Oryctolagus cuniculus: one gene and its partner. The protein of the gene in region 1 purifies or fractionates together with the protein of each later gene. This does not show direct contact. Links are inferred from orthologs where the notes say so. Each region holds a gene or a part of one and is shown on either strand. Other genes may lie near its edges.

What was found.
Region 2: the proteins of RETREG1 (region 1) and GABARAPL1 purify together in Homo sapiens (affinity purification with western blotting; 3 studies listed by BioGRID and IntAct, with this or other methods). This does not show direct contact. The link is inferred for Oryctolagus cuniculus from reciprocal best matches to the Homo sapiens genes RETREG1 and GABARAPL1.

Annotation. Positions count from the first base shown.
Region 1 is NC_091445.1:45,627,258-45,630,648, reverse strand, and holds part of RETREG1 (reticulophagy regulator 1), read left to right. Parts: intron 1-1,043; coding exon 1,044-1,181; intron 1,182-1,943; coding exon 1,944-2,008; intron 2,009-2,242; coding exon 2,243-2,369; intron 2,370-3,391. UniProt on the Homo sapiens protein: Endoplasmic reticulum (ER)-anchored autophagy regulator which mediates ER delivery into lysosomes through sequestration into autophagosomes.
Region 2 is NC_091440.1:106,922,981-106,926,807, reverse strand, and holds the end of GABARAPL1 (gamma-aminobutyric acid receptor-associated protein-like 1), read right to left. Parts: intron 3,034-3,827; coding exon 2,915-3,033; intron 1,826-2,914; coding exon 1,760-1,825; 3' UTR 540-1,759; downstream 1-539. UniProt on the Homo sapiens protein: Ubiquitin-like modifier that increases cell-surface expression of kappa-type opioid receptor through facilitating anterograde intracellular trafficking of the receptor. Involved in formation of autophagosomal vacuoles.

The DNA of each region.
Region 1 (3,391 bases):
GTAGGGAGAAGCAGGTTGAGAAGAAGCAGCAGAAGGGGAAAGATTAATAATAACGGGAGGAAACTTTTGGGGTGGTAGATATATTCACCACCCTTATTGTGGTGATTGATTCTTACCTGAATGCATATGTCAAAACTTAACAACTTATACACATTAAATATGTGCGGTTTATTATATATCAATCATAATTTTAAATGATATAAAATGTAGATTTTCTGCTACTGAAAGAGATGAAGATCTGACACCACTACCATTTTATGAGGCAAGTGCTCTCCCTTTAACCCCCATATTTTCCTAATTTTTTTTAACTCTGGCCTTTAAAATTTATAGGTAATTCTTTGGCCTCTAAAAATATGCAAGTTCCCAATTCTTATTTGAAGTAGCAGACATTTCCTAACACCAACAACACAGAAATAAAACAATAGAATACATTCAATGTGGCAGTCTAATTTCCTTTTGTATTTCAATGTACAACACAAAAATGCAAGTGGTCAGGGCTCAAATCCATTCTCCCAGATAGAACTCCTTTATCATCACCCTTTTGGTGCACATTGTTTAGGAGTTAATGGAGAAGAGGTGTGGGGAAGGAGCAGGTAGGACATCAGACTGATGGTTGCATTCATCTCATTTATAATCTGCATTAACCATAAGAAATAAAGGTATTATCCAGATATTACTGATATGCTAATAAATAATAACATTCCCATGGTAAAATGGCATTTAATAAATAAAACTGAGGTTTTAATCTAGGAATATTATCTGAAAGAACACATTTTTTTCTGTAAATTTTGAGGGTAAAAGGGAATTGATCTAATTGCAAGTCTGAAAGCAATGACTATGAACCCTTCTGAGTGTGCTGTAGTAGAAAGTCTTTTCATTACAAGAGAGGAATAGAAATTACGAACTTACCTCACAGAGGCATTTCCCTAGGGGAAAACACTTCTGTTTTCCACATAGAAACGTAATATTTGTGAAATCCTAAGGCGTAGCCTTTTGAAGGGAGCGGCGTTTTTACCTACACCTCTTTTCTTCTTGCTTTCCAGTGTTGTGTGCATTCTTGTGTCCGCTGTTTAAGTGTAATGATATTGGACAAAGAATATACAGCAAAATCAAGTCAGTTTTGCTGAAGCTAGATTTTGGAATTGGAGAATATATTAACCAGAAGAAACGTGAGAGATCTGGTAGGTAAAGTTTGAAGTTTAGATTCAATGCGTGAAATGAGACATTAGCAGTCTATTTATTATGAAATCACCTTCAATACATTTCAGAAGACGTTTACTAAATATTATAGGAGCTAAGTTCCCCAAAGTTAAATGCACACACACACACACACACACATACACACACAGCCTTTTCCTAGTTAAAGGCTTTTATTTTTTATCTTGAATGTACAATACATAAATAAATTGTTTTTTTAATCCAGACTGTCAGGGGAGGGAAAACAGACTTCAACAACTCTATATTTTGATATTTATTATTTATTGGACTATTACAAAAAAAGGTAGGTCTAAGAATTTGGGAGTCATGTTGAGGGAATTGGAAGAACAGGGAAAGGAAAACTTGCTGCATTTATTTGTTAACTTGGTGTAGGATCTTGGATTCTCAAAGTATGGCATGCATCAGAATCACCTGAAGAATTTGTTAAGGTGAAGATGGCTGGGCCCCACTCCAGAGTTTCTGACTTAGACGAGGGTCCAGCCTGAGCATTTCCAATTCCACGGAGTTCCTGGGGATGAAAAGGCTGCTGTTCACACTCTGAATATGGGACATTTCCTTTGGAAATCAAATATTTTGCAAACATGTGAAGCTTTTTAAGTGCAAAAATTTACTTATATGTAGGCATGAGAAAAAATGAGGAAAACGGGATAGGAATACATAATAGAAGAGTATACTGCGCCTATGTTGGCCAGGAAATTGAAAGCTTCTCATTTTTTTCTCAACAGAAGCAGATAAAGAAAAAAGTCACAAAGATGACAGTGAATTAGACTTTTCAGCTCTTTGTCCTAAGGTATTTTTTGCTTGATTTTCAATTTGTTTCTGTGTGTTTTGACCATCATTTAATTGAAAATCATAGCTGAATGATTTTGCTAATAGACTCCTCCTATTTTATAAGTTGAACAATTTCAAAAGAGAAATAATCATCTGGTTTGTATTATTCTGACCTTTTGAAGGTTATTAGGGAATTTTCCAAAAGGTTTCTCTCTGCAGTTCAAAGTGTGCCATGGTGTTTTTATTAACACAGATTAGCCTCACAGTTGCCGCCAAAGAGTTATCCGTGTCTGACACAGATGTTTCCGAGGTGTCCTGGACGGATAATGGGACCTTCAACCTTTCAGAAGGATATACTCCACAGACAGACACTTCAGACGGTATGCTAATACCCGTGAACAATTTTCTGTTTATCATTTTGCAAAAATATGAATTCTGTCAACTGTTGAATGGATAAATAAAATGAGGTGTGTTCACAACATGGAATATATTACTTGGCTTTAAAACTGAATAATGTACCAGTACTTTCTGCAACCTGGGTGAGCCTTGAAAACACTGCTCAGTGAAAGAAGCCAGACACAAAAGGCCACTTATTGTATAGTTCCAATTATATGAAATGCCCAGAGTACACAAGTCCACATTGAGAGAAAGTAGGTTAGTGGTTGCTGGGAACAGGAGGTCAGGGTCGGGAGAAATGGTGAATGACTGATAGTTGGCACAGGCTCCTTTTCAGAATGATGATGTGTTTTAGATCTAGATGGTTATACATCTTTGTGAATATACTAAAAAAAAAATCACTGAATTGTATACTTTAAAACTGTGAATTTTATGGTACATGAATTATATCTCAAAAGCTAATTTTTTTAAAGTATAAGAAAAAATCTAAGTTAATGTCCAAATCTGCCTTTATTTAAAAGACCAAAAAAAAAAAAAAAAAAAAACCCTGAAAAAAAATTAGCCTCTGAAATGTCTGGCAGCATTGCTTATGGCAAGAACTGGAGAGAAAGCAGCAGCTGATTCTGTGCATTCAACCCTAATTCTGAATTAGGGATTCAAAGGCTTAAAGCATGAATTCCAAAATTTGTCATATTTGTCTTCAAAGTTTAAAACCTTATTTTTTATAATTAGTTAAATTTCGTCTGTAACCCACATATGAAATAACACTTGTGCAATGACTTAGCTGTTGCTAGTCTCCATGGTTTAAGTCATCTCAGCCACTTATTGCTCACATATACATATGAGCAGATTATCACAAAGACACTCTTCTATACTTATTTTCCAAGGATGCACTTTCTTTTCCTATGAGAAGGTAGGACACAGGCTCTGCAGCATTTGAAAGAGGGGTTTGGAGGTTGGGAGACCCAAGTGTATTCTTATTTTTGTCATTAGCTAACTATATGAG
Region 2 (3,827 bases), on another chromosome or scaffold:
ACAAGTTTGTTCTCACACCAGGAGCTTTACTTTGGTGCTCGTTTGCTGCTAGAGGAGATGGTGGCTTCACATCTGACCAAGATGTAGTGGGGGATGGGGGGAATAAGGTATGGTTGGAATAAGCAGCAAAACCTGCTGCAAAGGCAGTGGCTGGCAAACTTCAGTGTGCAGCAGAGTCACAGGAGGTGCTATTAAAACTCCAGACGCCTACGCTGTGATTGAGTCACATACGTTTGGGACAAGGCCCAGACATCTTCATTTGTAATCCGCACACCCCCGACCCGCCCGCCATGCTCTGATGCAGGCAGTTCCACCTTCAGCTCTGCCAAAGCACACATCACCAGCACACCGGGCACACTGCCCCACTCTACCACTCACCCTCGAGGGCAACTCCAGGTCAGCAACGAGCTGAGACGACACGTGTACATCTGATCATGGAGGTGAGCACTCGCTCACCTCGCTCCCAGCGTTCTGCTCAGAGTCCGCGTGCCATCTACTCTAACGTACACCGAATAAAAGCAACACTTATGAACTCCATGTAAATTCTGAAGGTGAGCAAATTACTTTATTTCTGAGGCCTGACAGCATTGACTTTGTTATACAAGAACCTGCAGCTGACAGAACTGACACACAGATTTCCCAACAGGAAGGACTCTTTCTAGTAGCGGAGATGAAATGAAATGTCACGTCTGAGTGCAATTCCTGGGCCCCACCCCACCCCACGTAACCCCCGCAGGGAAAACAGATCAGTAAAATCCCCGATAGTGACTGAAAGTCAGCCCTCCGAACTCTTGTGACAAGCAGCTGCAGCGTGGAAACCAAAGGAGGGAAGCAGCTGGCCACCGTCAGCACCGTCCTGTGCGTGTGAGACTGCAGGGACAGCAGCAGGAGAGGAAGGAGTCTGGATGAGTGGGAGTTGGAGATCCACCTGCCTCTGCCATACCTAAGACACCTCTGTCCCTATACACGGGAAACGCTAAAGGATATGCTAAAGGAGTAGTTTTAGCCTGGGGCCCATTGAGTTCCAAGAAAGGTGTGGGATAAGGGGCACCAGAGAGACAGCAGGTTAGAGAGGCTCAACACTCAAGTCCGTTCCAGTTCAGTGCTGGCCTAACTACCTCGTAATCATAACCACCGTCATGACTAACCCCTATTTTCAAGGTAAGAGAGTGCCATCTCAATTTCTGTGCCTGTGTCTACTGCCACCTCTGGGGTGGCACTGAGATGTTTGTGTGTGACAATACAACTTGGATGGAAGGGAGGAGTCGTGGAAGGCCACAGTGCTTCAGTTACAATGGGCTTGGTCCCCAGAAGGCACGGCCCACCACCACAAGTCATAAAACATTCCTGTCTTCCTCCCCTTTTGGTCTCATGTGAATGTCAAAACTAGAATGGTGAGGAGGGAGTCACTGTTGGACCGCAACTGTCTCTGGCCCCACCTGGTCCATACGCTGACCCTCCTATGAAATTGCACAAGTATTCTCAGCAAAGCTGTAAAGTTATGCCATCCTCAATCCTTTCTCACAGCCAATCCAACAGCTCTGTTCTGACATGCTTTCTCCCTGGGCCGAGGAAGCAGCAAAAAATATCAACTGAGCATGTGAAAATATGATGACAGTGTGTGTGGTGTAATATTTCTCGATGTCTTCACATTCTGTCTCCTCCATGGTGGGAGCCCTCCTGCTCTTCCCCCAAGTCCCACACATACCCCTCCCCTACCCCCAAGTCCAGGTGCTCCCATCTGCTGGGCTTCCAACACTCATTTCCCATAGACACTCTCATCGCTGTAGGCCACATACAGAAAATAGTCTTCCTCATGGTTGTCCTGGGGAAGAGAAAAGAAGACAGCTCAGGACACCTATTCATCTTCATTATTCCTAGGCTTCTGAGCCACACACAGCCTTATTGAATAAGTATGAAGAACATCACTAGCCTCTATTAAAAGAGTAAGCAGAAGTGGTTAAACCTGTGGGTAGAAGATCTCATTCTAATTCTGTCACTCTGCCTTTCAAATAAATAATTTAAAATATTTTTTAAAGTTCATATTAGCAAGGGAAACATACCACAAGACATGTACAGGAATATATATTAATGGAGAAGATACACTATGGAATAGAAGTCCCATTAGAGTTTGTGTCATTACTGAGGCGCCATGAGAAGGCAGCACTCGTGTGAAATCCTTTAAGGAGTACAACAGTTATAATGTTACGTTCAATTTCCAACGTGAGAAAGTGCTTTACTATAGCTTACTCATTAGATTACCAATTAAACCAAGTCAGGTAAGTTATTCTCCCTGAGTTTGTCTCTTAAGATAAATGAATCAAAATGAAGACTTGGCCTTAATTTGCATTTCAATTTCAATTACAATTCACTGTGCCCAGGTAATGGTGAATCTGTTTCATGTTCTTAGCTTTGAACTCAGAAATAAGGAGCTACCCTTGTGTGGCTCTATATGGTTGTCTTAAACCAAAATTTCGGTTTAGAGCTTAAGGTTAGTTTCAGAGCTAGAAGGGGCTAAAATTAACACCATTTGTTTTCTCAAATAAATAGCAATAAAATAATGAACTGAGATCTGAATGCATAGTTTGCTTTCACACTATTTGTCACCAACAAGAAAAAGAGGAACTGCAGTGAATCCATGTTTGGAATCTTTGTTATCAACAACCACTTCCAGTCATTTCAATAAAGACCACTGACATTACAACAGTAGTCAGGCGAGACTGAAGAGAGATTTGTCAGCGGGAATAAATCTAGTCCTGAGGACTGCTTCCCTGCAGGACAAGTGCTGTCTGATCACCCAGAGCCTGACACTGCCATCTGTAAGAGGATCCTGGTAAGTAACACCTTCTGCCCCACTTTCCCAGTGTTATCAACAACTCAGACTGCTCGGAACTGCTGCGACCGGGAGCATTACCTCATACAGCTGGCCCATGGTGGCACTAGTGGGAGGGATGGTGTTGTTGACAAAGAAGAATAAGGCGTCCTCAGGTCTCAGGTGGATCCTCTTCCGGATTAAGAAGTAGAACTGGCCAACTGGATGAAGGAAGAAGGAAAATGAAGGCACGAAGAGCAGAAAACAAGGGATTAAAGGAAGGGTAAATTCTCCTGCACCTGTACCCTCTAGAGTAAGTATCAGCTTTGGAGACCATCTGAGCAGAGCCAACCATCCTCCTGCAGCCTTGGGAATAAAAAGTGAAACACGAGAGGCCCGCAGAGTCCCAAGCGCAACACAGCGGAGTTTACTCCTTCTTTCCCCCATTAATTTCAGACCCACTGTTAGCAGATCCACCCCAAGATTCACCTGATGCACAGGAGTTCTATGTATAGCCAGACCAATCAATCCCATCATTGTCTAAAGCTGACCTGTAACACCCTTCCACCCCCACTTCCCCCAAGACAAACCAGAGATGGAAAGAGGTCTACCAGACCCCAGGAGTCTTAGGGTGGTCACTCAATTCAGTGTGGGGGCACCAAGTGTGAAGTAGTGTGTTACATCTCCTGAGAATTCTGAAAATGTTCTAGAAAGTCAATATTCAAATCTATTAACTCTGGAGCAAGGAGATCTATAATCTTTCAGTGTCTCCTGAACACAGTAGGTATTCCATTAAGGATCAAGGTGAAGATCAAATATGTTCTTTATAATTCCAAACTCAATACAAAACCTATTACAAAACCACATGGCCTGAGGAGATGAGACATCTCACCGATAATCTCTAAACTGTGATCCTCCCAGGAAACTAGGCTGGTACTTCTCCTCAAACAAACTGACATCACAATGGCAAAGCTGATTTAATAGGTGGTTTAAATAATGGACATCTGATCTTTTC